Linked DNA regions of Pelodiscus sinensis. The protein of the gene in region 2 interacts with the protein of the main gene of each other region in a pairwise test. Links are inferred from orthologs where the notes say so. Each region holds a gene or a part of one and is shown on either strand. Other genes may lie near its edges.

Evidence for each region. The genes of interacting proteins can lie anywhere in the genome.
Region 1: the proteins of VAPA (region 2) and ADGRG7 interact in binary tests that used the Homo sapiens proteins (3 or more experiments, as listed by UniProt). The two-hybrid records come from large-scale screens. The link is inferred for Pelodiscus sinensis from reciprocal best matches to the Homo sapiens genes VAPA and ADGRG7.

Annotation. Positions count from the first base shown.
Region 1 is NC_134711.1:150,957,496-150,965,591, reverse strand, and holds the start of ADGRG7 (adhesion G-protein coupled receptor G7), read right to left. Parts: upstream 3,019-8,096; 5' UTR 2,975-3,018; coding exon 2,863-2,974; intron 1-2,862. UniProt on the Homo sapiens protein: Orphan receptor.
Region 2 is NC_134712.1:85,505,082-85,513,117, reverse strand, and holds the start of VAPA (vesicle-associated membrane protein-associated protein A), read right to left. Parts: upstream 3,022-8,036; 5' UTR 2,584-3,021; coding exon 2,508-2,583; intron 1-2,507. UniProt on the Homo sapiens protein: Endoplasmic reticulum (ER)-anchored protein that mediates the formation of contact sites between the ER and endosomes via interaction with FFAT motif-containing proteins such as STARD3 or WDR44.

The DNA of each region.
Region 1 (8,096 bases), on a different chromosome or scaffold from region 2:
TAGTTTGAACTAACATTGTAGTGTAGACATACCCTTACAGAGTTTAAAAAGAAGTTAGATAAAGTCATGGATGTTGGGTCTATGGAGTGCTATTAGCCAGAGGGTAGGAACGGTGTCCCTGGCCTCTGTTTGTGGAAGGCTGGAGATGGATGGCATGAGACAAATGGCTTGGTCATTGTTTTCGGTCCATCCCCTCCGGGGCAGCTGGTGTTGGCCACAGTCGGCAGACAGGCTACTGGGCTAGATGGACCTTTGGTCTGACCCAGTACGGCCATTCTTATGTTCTTATGTTGTAAGCTCAGGGCTCAGGGTCGGGGGTCTCACTGGACCAACTTGATTTTCATGCAAACCTGCTCCTGGGTTCGCATGTGGCCTTTGGTGGCCAGGCTGGCAGCTATCCTGCCCTAGATGGCTGCTTTCCTGTGCCAAGTGCGGAGGTCGTGGACGATGGAGGCCTCCCCCCAAACCTGGATGAAGTCCACGATCTCCGCACTAGACCAGGCGGGTGCCCGCCTCTCGCGGACCCAGGCAGGCTCCGGAGGGTTGGGTGGCAGCGGGTGGCTGGCTTGTGCCCTGCCAGGTGCAGGGTCTGCTGGCTGGGTGCTGGCAGGCTTGCACCTGGCACGGGCACCGTAGCCAGACCGTGCCCCTTTAAGGGCTCCAGGGCCAGGAGGGGGGCAGAAGAGTTACCCTGGTTGTGGCCAGAGTGGCCACCAGGGCAAGCTGGGAAGGGCTAGCCTCCCACTAGTTCGAATTAAGTGGCTACACAGCCCTTTATTCAAACTACTTAATTCGAACTAGGCGTTAGTCCTCGCAGAATGAGGTTTACCTAGTTCGAATTAAGCACGCCGCCAGTTCCAATTAAGTTCAAACTAGCGATGTGCATGTGTAGCCCCTATTAAAGTTAATTCAAACTAACGGCTGTTAGTTCAAATCAACTTTGTAGTGTAGACATACCCTCCCTCTCACAGGCCTTGGGGGACAGGCCAATCCTCACTTACAGACAACGCTGTAACCTCACGCAGCACACTTCTATCATACTGATCCAGGAGCCAACCCCTGCAATCAACCCCGGGGCCAACCCTGTCCTTACATCTATACAGGCAATATTATCACAGGACCTAACCACGTAAACCACCACATCAGAAGCTCATACAACTGCACATCCACTAATGTGATCTATGCCATCAAGTGCCAGCAATGCCTCTTGGCCATGTATATTGGCCAAACTGAACCGTCTCTACAAGAAAAAATTAATGGACATAAATCAGACATCTGAAAAAGGGAACACACAAAAACTATTCGGGAACATTTTAACTTGCCTCAGCACTCATTAATGGATCTCAAAGTCACCGTATTATTTCAAAACAATTTTAAAAGCCAGCTTGACAGGGAAGCTTAATTTCATTTAAAAGTTTGATTCCTACAACAGAAATCTAAACAAAAACGTTGGCTGGATGGCCCGCTACATTCCACATCCTAATGACAAAAAAAAAAAAAAGGTACTTAGAGTGGGTACTAAGTATTCTTATCAGCTTCATTTAGCATGGACATGTTGACAATTTCTTTCCCCTTTTTCCTCCTCTTCTCCCCTCCACATCCCCTCTCTGTGTTATTTATTTGAAAACTGGACCCCTTAAACTCCATTCATCTGAAGAAGCGGATTGTGCCCACAAAAGTTTATGGTACCATCTACATTTTTTGTTAGTCTCTAAGGGTATGTCTAGACTACATGGCTCTGGGTAGATTAGTTTACTAGACATACCCAAATGAAGCGGCGATTTAAATAATCGCCGCTTCATTTAAATTAAAATGGCTGCCGCGCTGAGCCGATCAGCTGTTTGTCGGCTCAGCGCACTAGTCTGGACGCTCCACGGTCGACATCAAAGGCATTTGTCGACCGCTCCGGTAAACCTCATCCCACGAGGCATAACGGGGCGGTTGACAAATGCCTTTGATGTCGACTGCGGAGCGTCCAGACTAGTGCGCTGAGCCAACAAACAGCTGATCGGCTCAGTGCGGCAGCCATTTTACTTTAAATGAAGCGGCGATTGTTTAAATCGCCGCTTCATTTGTATATGTCTAGTAAACTAATCTACATGACTCTGGCGACAGAGCCATGTAGTCTAGACACACCCTAAGGTGCTGCAAGACTATTCCTTGTTTTTTTAAGTTTTTCCAGTTACAGACTAACACGGCTACCCCTCTGAAAATCCTGACACCTGCTCATGGACTCCTAGCAGGCCTCGCACCTCCCAATTGAGAACTGCTACAATCAATAGTAGGACCATATTTCCCAAAGGAAAAATGAGACATAGCCCAGAGCTGGTATGAGCTCTCCCCACCTCAGCATGGGGCTGGTTCAAGCCACTTGACCCTCTCCATGAGGCTGGGTTGCTGAAACCCTGTCTACTCATCTCCCTCCTCATCATGAATCTTGGCACTTCATGAGGGACTGGCATCACTGCTCATTCTCCTCCCACACACACACACACAAACACTCATTCCTCTACACTGCACCCCACTTTTTGACAAAAGTTGGCATTTGATCAGATGGCAAAAGCAAACCGGACAAAAGCCCACTGTTGCCAAAAAAGTCAGAATGATCAGGACATGGCTAAAAAAGGGGACTGTCTCAGCCAAAATAGAAAATATAACCATCGTAGCGATTAAAGTATTGCCTCTCCTTAAAATCCTTAAGTATTGCATCCTTAAAATCCTGCTAAGACCAACACAGCTACAATAACACTGCAAACGATGGTGAGAAGAGACATTCCTGCTCAAGAAGCTAATGGCACTAAGAACTCAGTCAGTATTCATTACATCATTTTGTGAACTGGATAAAACAGATATTTGTATTACCTGATTTAAACCTGAGAACAAGTTGCCAAATGCATAGTATCCAAAGCACTACGGTCACTGTCCCAAAAATAATCACAATCAACGCTCTGCTGTCCCAGTGAAAGGAAGGCATTTTGTGTATGCCCTAAGCATGCTCAACTATAATATATTTTTAATTCACTTCCTTGTGATGGATAAACTATTAACTACTTTTCTCATCGTCAAGGCTAGAAATGTAACCCTTTCTGTTCCATTTAAGGAAATATTGAGAGGCAAAACCAGAGGCAAAATGGATGAAGGATTATCATTTATTAGACCAACTTCTGTTGGAGAGAGAGACATGCTTTCAAGCTTCCACAGAATTCTCCTTCTGGTCTGGGAAAAGAAGAAGAGCTCTGTGTAAGCTCAAAAACTTGTCTCTCTCACCAATAGAAGTTGGTCCAATAAAATATATTACCTCAGCCATCGCTCTCAGACCCCCTTTCTCTCCAAGTCCCTGATCTGCATGAATGAGTTAGACCTAGAGCCAAATGAGGAGTCTCTGTAGAAGGAACTCTGCCTGTTCCATGCATTGAGGGAGGAAGAAGCCACTCAATATATGAAGCTGCTCCAATTGTCCTACCTCAGGAGGTCAGGGAGTAGGGAAAGGCAGCCCATCCAAAGGGATTTTTCCAGGGACTGATGGATTTCCCCTTCTACTGTGCTATAAATGGTCTCAAAGAGTGAATGGTCCATCATAAATGGGTAGCAGCAGCTTCAATTAAGTGTTTAAATTTCAGGTCTTGATACCTAGCTCATTTTTTAATGTCTACATTTTTGGCCAAGTCTGAGGCTTCTTGTGACCCCTCTCCCCTGCCCCACAAAGTACTGCCCTCCTTCCTATCAGAGGGTCTGCAAACACACAGTGTGTGTGTGTGGGGGGGGGAAACCCCTAGAATGGGCAGCTCTATCAGATTTGAGCATCCAGTAAGCACTGTGTAAAGGTTAAATGGTCCAACACCAAGTCTCTGGTTTCTAAAGAAGCCCCAATTTTGCATGTTGAGGTGAAAGATATATTAGATAACACTCTGGGGCTTCACAACACTGCTGTGCAACCCCTGCAGTATTGTGAACAAACAGAGTGTGAAGCTTTAGAGAAATACTTTCCTCAGTCACTACAGTTACTTGGCCTGCTAACTTCTAGGACAGTTTCCATTTTCTTTCAACAGAATCTGTAACTTTTAGAGGGCGCAGAATGCTACCTATCCTTATCCATTGCACGTATTCCTAATCTCTAGCAGCCTCCACTACTTATCTTAAAGGAGTTGATTTATGAGTGATAACATTGTAGATCTAGAGCCAAAAGCTGCACAGAAAACGCCTACCCATATACTCTTGCATGGGGCCTTTCATGCAGGTAGGTTGAACAAGACACTGAGGCCAATTGGCCATCAGTTTCCCAGTCACCTTTTTCTTGAAGATGGGCACTACGTTCACTTTTTTCCTAGATAACAGGTATGGTACCTTTTCTGATTCACTGAAGACTGTTTCTAGAGCTTCAAGAATTCTTGCTGGTATTTTTCATCAATCTCACGTGCAATTCTTTCATACTCATCAATGTGTAATATATGATGTGGGCAGATAGAGGTCTGAGCATTGGCTTCATCCCTTTTAACCAATTATAACAAGATTCACATGCCACTCTGGCACCTCCTGCTAGTTGCCATGGCAATTAGCCCTGCACAGTAGTGTGCTCTCTTCAGGTGGTGCCTCACCACACCTCCTTTATGTCTGTTCCAGGAGTCATATCTCTCCAAGGGCTGCGACATCCTCTTCAGCAATGCAGCCCTTTGGCAGTGCCACACACTGTGCTCTCCGCATCCAAGGGGCCTGCAGTTCACCTTCTCACCACTTACTTCAGTGGCCAACTGCACTCCCTTCCTCCAGGGCCACCTCCCACCTGGCTTCAGCTCCCTCTTTGCCTTGAGTCAGGTCCTTAGCCTGCACACCTCACCAGCCAGCCAGGAGCTGTCTCTTGCTCCCTCAGTCCATGCTGGGGGGACTGCACCGTTCAAGGTGCTGGCATTTCTCTCAGCCCTCCAGAAATATAGTCCTTCCTCCTTAAGCTCTCAGGGAGAACTGACTTCCTTTGGCACCGATTGGCTGCTCTCTTCAGCTCTCTTTTGATCGGCTGCCTCCAACCTCTTTTCTGCCAGCGAAGGGCACCATCACATCAATTCATTTGGAATGTGTTCTCTTTTGTATTTCTTTAATGTTCATTCATTTTTAGTATTTGATGCTAATACCAAGAGAAATGGCCCCGTTGCACTTGGAAGCAGAGCAGCAAAGGAATCCTCAGTTCCAGCATGTGACACAAGGCCTTCAGCATGCATGGCCTTGCTGACTGACTGCACGATGAAAAAGCAAACATGATTCTGGGATGCATTAACAGGAGGGTTGTGAGCAAACCGCGAGAAGTCATTCTTCTGCTCTACTCTGCGCTGATTGGCGTCAGTTGGAGTATTGTGTCGCGTTCTGGGCACCACATTCCAAGAAAGATGTGGTAAAATTGGAGAGGGTCCAGAGAAGAGCAACAAAAATGATTATAGGTCTAAAAAACATGACCTATGAGGGAAAAGTGAAAGAATTGGGCTTGTTTAGTTTAGAAAAGAGAATACAGAGAGGGGACAGGATAGCAGTTTTCAAGTATCTGAAAATATTTAAAAAGGTGTTACAAGGAGGAGGGAGAAAAAATTGTTCTCCTTGGCTATTAGGACAAGAAGCGATGAGCTTAAATTGCAGCATGGGAGGTTTAGTTTGGACACTACAAAAAACTTCCTGTCGGGGTGGTTAATCACCGGAATAAATTGCCAGTGGTGGGGTTTGTGGAATCTCTATCACTGGAGATATTTAAGAACAGGTTAGACAAACACCTGTCAGGGATGATCTAGACAGTACTTGGTCCTGTCATGAGGGCAGGGGACTGGAATTGATGATCTCTCAAGGTCCCTTCCAGTTCTATGATCCTATGGGATGAGCAGGAAAGGTGCACATATAGCCTGCCATTCCCCTCCAACACGGTGTTTGACTCTTGGGGATTTGTGCTTTGTACAGACTCAGTGGCACTGCCTCAAAAATGCCTTCTTTCATTCCTGTAAATGGCAAGGAAAGTGCAGGAAATCAAAGCATGACTGCCATTCAGGAAGTTACCACTCAGTCAACTGTTTTTTCAGGGTACTAGAGGTGTAAAAACACACACATACACACACATACCCTTACACATTCAAGTCTTTCTAGTGAAGAGATTATGGACTTCAGCAATGAATAAATCAGTTTTATTTAAATAAAATTAGACACATCTTGTTTGTTATAAACTATTACATTTTCTTTAAAAAAAAAAGGCACCAATATTTAACAATAACTTAAGGTTTAATTAGAGCACTACCTTTTTAAAATGGTATGTTTGCAAACCTGGCAGTCTTCCAACCCTTCTTTGAATTCAAACAAATTATTGGTAAGGGAGTATCAAAGGTCCTACTTCTTTGTTAATATATAGCAGTGTTCAAAACATAACCAATCAAGACACCAGGTGAAGCTTTCTGCATTAAAAAAAAAGGTTATTCCTAAAGATATTGGTTGATTTTTATCATACTAATGTATAACAATACTAGGCAGTTTGAGAATATGTCTGAATCTTTTATATTATAGATATTATAAATATATTACAATTTTCCCTTTGCTTTTTCTTGTATTTTATCATTTTAATACCCAACATTTGTACAGAAATTCAAGCAGTCTTAAAACTTGAGGCTTTAGCATCTGTTTTTACCAAATCACATTTCTCCAAATTACAGACATTTACATCACGGCATCAAAGAGTTGTGTATGTATTGAAGTTAGTCTCTTATTTTTTTATGATTTCAAGGCAGGTATTGTACTGTAATATTTCTGGGAAAAGGGAACAGAAGCAACAGTGAAATAAAGTTTATCATTCTCTCCTTTAGTTACAGAGGGGTAGCCGTGCTATTATGTAACTTGAAAAAAACTTCAAAAACAAGTGATCCTGTAGCACCTTAGAGATGAACAAAAAGATATATAAATAGTATCACGGGCTTTTGTGAGCACAACCCATTACTTCATATAAGTCAGTGGATTTTGAGATTTCTCACCTCTTAGCAGTATCAAGCCCTATGTGTTAAAAACTACTCACTATGAACCATGAGCAGCCAGCAGGTTACTAACTTTAGAGTAGAGATAGGCCTGAGAGAAAAGATTCAGATCTGGATTATGAACATTTCAAGGTTTGGGATGCAGATGTATTCAGCTCTGGAGTTTTGGTTTAATCCATTACAGTGTTTGAGTCAGACTTGATATTAAGATTCAGTTTCTAATGCCAATGTTTGTACTTGTTGAGACGTAAGGTATAGATTCACTTTCATCTATAATGTAGAGTAATCAGATTGCCTACAAGACAGATTTGGTAAAAATAGCATGAGATAGGGGAGAAAAAAACTTAAGAGGGAAAATTACTGAACATCCTGAACACTTGAAAATCCATTTTTATTTTGGCTCTTTGTAATGCCATTTTTAGTAAAAGGAGATATTTTGTGTATAAAAGAAATGATAGGATTAGTCACAAAGGGTATGTCTACACTACCCCCCTAGTTCGAACTAGGGGGGTAATGTATGCATACCGAACTTGCTAATGAAGCCCGGGATTTGAATTTCCCGGGCTTCATTAGCATAAAGCCGGCGCCGCCATTTTTAAAAGCCGGCTAGTGCGAACCCCGTGCCGTGCGGCTACACGCGGCACGGACTAGATAGTTCGGATTAGAAGCCTAATCCGAACTATCTAGTCCGTGCCGCGTGTAGCCGCACGGCACGGGGTTCGCACTAGCCGGCTTTTAAAAATGGCGGCGCCGGCTTTATGCTAATGAAGCCCGGGAAACTCAAATCCCGGGCTTCATTAGCAAGTTCGGTATGCATACATTACCCCCCTAGTTCGAACTAGGGGGGTAGTGTAGACATACCCAAAAAGTGTTAAAAGTCAAACTTCTAAATTGGAATTCTGGAAATATCATTTCTAGAGATTTATATCTGCCCAAAGCACACATAATGTATCCAGCAAACTTGACCATCCAATTCTCAGACAACTTTATAGGTTATTCACTGAATCTAGCACAGGAGCTATCGATGTCCCCTTGTAGCAATAGGCAGCTGGTATGCTAGGTGGGGGAAGGCATTGCTTTCCCAAACTGCCAGGCTGGCCTCGCTCA
Region 2 (8,036 bases):
AAACAAAAACTGTTTTTATTCAGGACTCTAAAAATCCTAATCTGGGTGTCTGGTGTGCACACGTATTTGACGTTAGCAATGCTATATGAATCAACAACTTTCCATTCACCCATCAAAAAAACTTCAGCAAATCAGTGGCAACCATAGTAACACTCTATTCTTTTATCAACACAATATAATTTTGCCATATTAGATTTCAAACAGAACCTATTTGAAGGTACATTATCATCAGATTGCTTAATTGGTATAAAGGAAAATATATCACTTAGTCTCCCTCCACCAACTTTCTAAGTTATTTCATTGGAGAAAGTGTTTTGTTGATGGTCAGAACAATGGGCAATTAATATAAAAGTGTACATAGTGGGATGGCATGTAGAATGAGCTAACAGATCCACTGTATCTGAAATGCACTAAGTTTGGTCCTTCTATACAGACACTGAAAGGCCCTACTTTGCTTCATACTCTTTAAATATCCCCTTCCAGAAAAGCCTTCCCAACATCTATACTTGTCTAAATAAATTTTAAGTTTACACTTAATTCTTACAGCTCCCATTCCAAAGGTGCATACTGAGCCTATTTGTTTGCTTACTCATATCCTTCCTATACACTTTGAGTAAGAATCATCATTGGACTGCAATCTCAACAACTCTGTTTATACCCTGTAAATGTTATGTGTTTTGGGCTAAAAGAGACATTTTAGGACTAGGTCAATACACATGCAATTATAAATATTAGCTTTGGTGTGACATGCATCTATGCTCATTCTACTCTTCTTGTGAGATGTGAAATATAAATACAGTGCAGTCATTCTCCAAGACCACGTACAATTTTGGGGCCTGCTACTCTGAGAGAAACTTAAACTAATAATGTTTTAACAATGTATAATCAAAAAAATCTACAATTTTGAGTGTAACTACCAAAAAAACTAAAGTAATTCCTGAGGGTTTATTTTAATTGACTAAACGGGTAGAGAATAATTCAAAGCTCTGAAATGAAAATCAGTTTGGTATAAATCTGTCTTCTCTGATAAGGTTTAAACCTTGTTGAAAAAGCATGGGCTATCTAAAGTTAGGAACACAGTTACCTTCTGTAAGGTACAAGATCACATTAGCTTTTTCTACTTGCCCATTAAAGGGTTCTACAATTAAACTTTCAAAATCTCTCAAGAAACACAAGACTGTCTCGGGACCCAAAATACTATAAATAGAAAATGAACCTGAAAATTAACACAGTTAAAAGTAAAAAGTTAAATACAAACAGAGTAAAGGATTAGCTAAAAAGTATAAGAACTGCCAATACTATTTGAACAGCTAAGGCATTTGTATTTATGCAAATAGTCTTATTTATAATTTCTCAACATTAACCGTAACAATTTTGTTTCCCAGTAAATGCTTTACCTAATAAATGTTCCACTTAATGCCCTTTGTCAATCTGTAAGCACTGAAACTTACCACATAATTATGAATACCCACCCCCTTCAGCACAACTTGTTTTTGTTTGGTTTTGGTCTTCATCTTCTAAGGAGCCTGTCTTCCTAACAACTGAATGTGCGTCTATCTACTCAGAATACCCCTCGCTATTAAAGTTAGGGTTTATCAGGAACAGTGTATTTAATCAGCTATTTTAAGGGAACGGTTTTAAGCCAAACAGAATAAGACTGCATAGCTGGAGCCATACAAATAGCTGACACATTACCAAAAAGTTAATGAACTGCCTACCGACACAATCCGAAGGTTTCACCTAAAAGTGATCTGAAATACGCCAGCGTCGTATCATCTGCCTCCCAAAAGGGTCAAACTCCATCTGGGAAAGGAGCGTGCCATAGCAGATCCTCTAGCGATACCAGCGGATGGTGCAAAATAGCACCACTCCCTCCCCGCTACTAACCATTGTTAACAGCTGGCCTCAGCCCAGCCGCAAGCAGAGCGCAGCTACGGCCAGGGCACAGATTGCAGAGCACCTGGGGACCGATCTCTCCCCACACACGCTCCATCCCCCGGACCGCTCTTCCCTGCTCCGGGGGTGGGGGGGGCGCACACGCCACAGAGGTGTCGGGGGGAGGGAGAGCTCTGGCCAGGGCAGCGATGCCAGCGCAGTCCCGGCCGATGGAGGCCGGGCGATGTGGGAAGGTTTAAGGGCCTGCGGCTCAGACGTTCCCGGCATGAGAGCGGAGGGTCCCGGCTCCCGGCCCGGCAGTATCGGCTGCTGCGGCACCTGCCGCTTCTCCCCGCAACCCAGCGGCCTGGAGCCGGAACCGGGCCCGAGGCGGCGGCGCTGGCCATGCCCGAGACACACGATTCCCTGCGGGAGCTCAAGATGGCGGCGGCGGCGGCGCCGTGTCCCGGTCACCGGCTCTGGTTCCCCACCGCGCAGGGAGACCGGTTCGGGCCCTGCCGCCGCCGCCGCGTCCCTCGGAGAAGCCGGGGCCCACGCGGGGGGCGACCCAGCCTGCCCGCGCCACCCCGCAGCCCCTCGGCACGAGGCAGCCCGGCCCGCGCGGCCCGTACCTTTGAATTTGAGGTCGGTGGGCGGATCGAGCACCAGGATCTGCTCCTGCTTCGCCAGAGTCCCAGCGGCCGCCATCTCGCTCGTTCGCTCGCTGCCTGCCGCGGGGGGAGGGGCCGGGCAGAGGCGCCGCTCGCTCGCTCACGCCGGGGAGGGGGAGCAGCAATGGGCTGGGGTCCGGACCGAGCGGCCGCCGCCTCGTTTCCCCCTCCGCGGGCGCGCGCACGCGTGCTCCTCTAGTTCCCCCCCCTTTTTTTCTGTAAGAATTGATTCACCCCCCCACACACACACGGCGGCCGCGCGCGCACTGCGATCAAACGCCAACCTCCCCCCCGGGCACGAGGGCTACGACGGCAGTGGCGGAACCCAAGTGACGCATGCGCGCGGCGTCCTCTTCTTTCTCCCTCGCTCCCGCCGCCGTCCGTTGACAGCTCGCTCGACTTGGCCTCGCGAGCCACTTATCAGTCAGTCACACACTGCCTCGGCTGAGGCAGCAGGGGGCGCGTAATCTAGACGACTCAGATCGCGAGAGCGGTTCGAGGGAAATGAAAGAAGGGCGCATGCGCACCGAATGGCGATGGAGGAAGCGGTGTTCGACGTGGCCAAAGTTCCGCTTCAGGACTATAATCCCCAGCATGCAACACTCTGATGGTGTTGGAAGCATTGCATGCTGGGAATAGTAGTCTTCAAGGGCTATATCAGTGCGCGGCACAAGGGTGGGGTGGTTGCCATTGGCTTCTCCTTAATGCGATTGATGTCTGAGAGGAAGAGAGGTGAGATCCGCCCTCTGCTGAAGGTAGAGCTGGATGGAGCAGGTTAAGCGTTTGCTTTAGGAAAAGGTTTGTAGATAGAAAAATAACCTCACTTTGCTATAGACACGTGCACTCTGGACCTCTCTGCCTTTTCAGTGGCCCAATGTAGACCAGGTTGTGCTCAGGGGGGCAAAAACTGGACTGTTTCAGTGTTGGGTTGTAAGAAGATTAGCCCCATTCATACCAAAGAGTGTCCAATATCCATGATTGAAAATGAGAAAAACAAGCCACAATTTATTTGTAGGTAGAAAGCTGGGAAATTCACTCCCTTTTCCTGACTTTAAACGTGAAATAAATTTCTACAAAGAAAATGTATTTTCCCTTTCATTCTCTCTGTTGCCTTCCCCGCTCTCCTTTCTAAGGTTTGCATTTCTACTTGTTCTTTAAAAATAATACTCTTCGTAGGTAACAAGACAAAGGATTACATTATTTACAAACAGTATAGAAGAAAATATGACCTAATCTAAAAGTTATTAAAATAATGTGAACTGTAATCCATTCAAATCTTCCCAAAGGAGATGAGGACTATACTGTACATGTTACACGTGGAGTCGATTGCTCTTTTCCCCCTCCCCTTCTCCCCTCTCCCCTCTCCATCCCTAGGTACACTGGCAGAAAATGTCTAACTAAATGAGTGGAAGGGCAGCAATGAAAATGATAGGTCCAGCAAAATTGTAACAAATATCTTGCTTGAAATCTAGTGAAAATATCATAGGAGCATTAACAGGAACAGCACAGTCATATTTCAAACAATATTTACTACTAATAATAAATATCCATCAATTAATAATTTACAATTTTTGCCCTAAGGGTTGGATATCTCACCCCAAAAGTCAATTTCCCACAAAGAAATAGGGTGACAATTCCAAATGGAAAACTGACAGCATTCCCCCCCTTCTGGGTACTGTGGTTTAGCAGGCGAGGGGGAAGGGAAGGGAGGAGGAGGCAGGGCTTAACCTAATTCCATTAAAATCAATGCAAGTTTTGACATTGACTTCCATGAGAGTAGAATTGTGTCCTATCACTAGTTCTAAGTGCTGATGAGCAAAATCGCAAAATACTCTTGTTTGGTTGTGACTATATAGTTTATGTTGGTAAGTCTGATGGTGGAGCTTCTGTATGACGTGAGCACAAGAATGATCCAGATGGTCCTAGCAAAACTATTCTGGTGCTGTGTGCTGTCCAGTACTAATTTTATATTGCTCCAAAAACAAGATTCTAAATTGTTTCCTTTTCTTTATTTATACAGGCAGTCCCCGGGTTACGTACAAGATAGGGACTGTAGGTTTGTTCTTAAGTTGAATCTGTATGTAAGTCGGAACTGGCATCCGGAACTGATCTGGAAGCGCCACGGGTCCGGCCCCGGGTCCTGCGCTGCTTTGCTCCCCGTCTCCCTGGTCTGCTGGCTCCCGCAGCAGACCAGGGAGACGGGGAGCAGCTTTTCTCGCCCCGGAGGAGGCGGGCGGCGGGACCAGGCGTCCCGCCGCTCCAGTCCTCCGGGGCGAGAAAATCCCCGTTCGTAACTGCGAATCCGACATAAGTCGGATCCGCATAACTCGGGGACTGCCTGTAGTAATACTGTATATATCAAGTTGCCTCCTGATTCATGTCTAGTGGGAGTTTTCCACTTTTTCCCTACATCCAGGATATGTCTTTCTCCCTCAGTTCTAGTTACACAAAGACTGGTAAATACAACTATCATCTCTGTCATGGTGTATTATTTTTCTCTTGTTCACATTGATTTCCCTTTTATTCTTCTTTATATTCACTAGCTCCACTGTAAGCCGTTCCAAAGAGAAAACTAGCCCCTCTTAGTCAGCTCAGAATTTTTGTCATATCACTGTCTTCTTGAAAGAGCCTCCCAATTAGTCAGATTTGTCTCTATTTGCAGAATTTTAAAGGCCTAACTTTTTAAGGACCACAAGTTGGGAATAGCTGTAAAATTTCAACTGCCACAGGCTCTTCCATTGGCATCAGTCTTCTAAGCTGAAAACTACCATTGGCACAATTAAGCCCTTCATTTTTAGTTTGGATTTAAATGGTGAAATAATGTCAGTAGTATCTCATAAAACTGTGGGCAGGATAGACATTACTGCAAATTTTTTCACAGAGCCATGAGGGCTGCATCAGGCAAATTATTGAATAGGGTAATTTGCCTATAGTCATAAATTTGAGTTTCTGATCTAAACATCCTGGTAGTTGCAGGGATACAACATGGAACTGAATAAACACTGGTAAATGGGTGTATGCTGACACAAGTCTAAGAGCAGCTGGCAACTGGGTGGGGATTTTGGGGTGATGATGGGGTATGGGTGAGTGAGTGGGTGCTGGACTAGTTAGAGGTACCAGGCTATTTATGAGTAGTGGACTTTCTTGTGTAGTGAGTATTTGCTGATTGCTAGTTGTAGGATGAATTCTGGGTCATCAGTGGCAGCTGCGGATCGCAGGGATGTTTACATGGAGCAGAAAGGCTATTAGAGATAAGAGCATTGGTGGTGCTCGTCCACTGGGTAGCATCTGAATCTGTCCTTGTGCTCAGCTTACAGGGAACACTGGTAGCAATCACCCAGCAGGAGTTGGAGGAATCGCAAGGGCTGGGTCCCATAAACAAGGATCAGGCCATTATCAGAGACCCAGAGGTCTAGAGGCAGGAGTGAGAGTCAGGTTGGAGTTGGAGACTGGGTAGGCTGGAGCAACAAAGCAGGAGAAAAGGCTGGTCACAGTCTGTGGTTACAGAATCAACTTCCTGGGTCAACCCCTGGGATTAAATGAGTGTTTGGCTAATCGTAGGACCCCAGAGTACTGTCACTCTGGATCGCCTGAGCAAGACATTCTGCTGTGCCTATAATCCATAATAGGCTATATACCTATGCATGAATTCTCAGTGGCAATGAGGGAATAGCAACTGTTCTAGGCTCCGCAGATGCAGGTTTTTGTTCTGGGCTCTTATGACTGAGGAGTGAGTGCTAAAGTATGGGACTATGCTATAGGGCTGTCAACTGCATGAGTGTTACACAAGATTTATGATACTTGGCTCTCTGCAGAGTGTTCCAAGAAGAACATGTTAAATAGGTAAAGAAAGATCCATGCATTGTATCAATTAAAGTAATAAGAAGACAAGCAGACCAGTATCAAGATAACTCAGTTGGCAATTGGAAGTCTAAGACTTTGTCTTTCCTCACTTTTTTCTTAAAATGTCTCACTTTGTTACTACTGGCTCAGCTCCACTACTATTGTAGCAATGGTGGTTAGTATTATTTTAACCATCATGTCAAGCTCTGAACAGTGTTAGATACAAGGGTTAAAATTACTGGTGCAGGAGGCCCCCGCTTTGCGACGGCCTGATTTATGACCCCCCCCCATACTTCCGACCTTTTCTGTAAGTGTGAAAGAGGCTGAAATCCCCTAACTTATGTCCTCGGCCCCGCATTTACGACAGCGTACGATGCCTGTTGTAATTGCGGACTTGAGTTATGATGCCCTTGACTTGCGACACTATCTCTGGAACCAGTCGCATCGCAAATCGGGGGCAGCTTGTAGTTGCTTTGTCAGAAAATGTTAAGGGAGTAAGTTCAGGGTGGACATAGTCTTAAGGGTGACCAGACCAAAGCTTGCAGTTCAAATAGATGGTTTGGACCAACCTTCCGACCTCCTTCATAAATTCAGAAGAGCAACTTGAGGCTAATGCTGAGTCTGAGGCAGCTAGCATGAGAGAGCTAAAACTGGAATTCGGTTCCTGCTCTTTTCACCTTAGTAGAGATGAGCAATTTGTTACACTAGAGTCTATCCAAACCAAGGGTGGGCAATAAGCACTCTGTGGGCTGGATGTGGTTTGCCAGGGTTAGCTTCTGGCAGGCTGCTGGCCATTTTATTTACCTGCATCTCCACAGGTATGACACGCACAGCTCCTGTTGGTCATGGTTCACTGTTCTTGGCCAATGGGACCTTCGGGAAATGGTGACTCATAGCGTCCATTGGCCGAGAACAGTAAATGGCGGCCAACGGAAGCTGCAAGTGAACATACCTGTGGACATGCAGATAAATAAAGCATCCAGCAATTGTCCAGGAGCTAACTGTGTCTGGCTCAAAGACCACTTATTGCCCACCACTGATCCAAATCCTCACATTTCTAACAGTAAATAAAAGCAGTATTATATAGCAAGCAAAAGACAAAGTAAATAACAGAGGGGTAGCCTTGTTAGTCTGAATCTGCAAAAGCTACGAAAAGTCCTGTGGCACCTTAGCACTTGCACCCTCTTTCAAGAGAGGGATACAAATGAAGACATTCAAAATTGCAAATGGAGCCGGGATTTAAATATCCCGCTCTTCATTTGTGTAATTGCATTATGGCGCTATTTCGAAATACAAAAAGTGGTGTAGATGCAGTTATTTCGGGAGAACGCCCTTCTTCTGAAATAACTGTTAAACCTCACTATTGTGCTATGGTAAAAATAAATAAGCATGAGAAAGACTGGTTTTAATCAGGTGCAGAAGTTGTTGGCCAGTATTAAGAATTTGCTAATAATATCTAGAAAAGGAACATTACAGGTAATATATTTGCTGTTAATTTAAAATTCAGTCAATATGTTGTGGGCCAGTGCCAAGGTTTCTGTAATTTTCCAAGTTTGGTTTGTTGCAAATGTGGTCCACGTTTGCATTTAACTAGTCATAGACTAGGCTGGCAGGTCTTGCATTTTTACCCAACAGATGATTCATGAA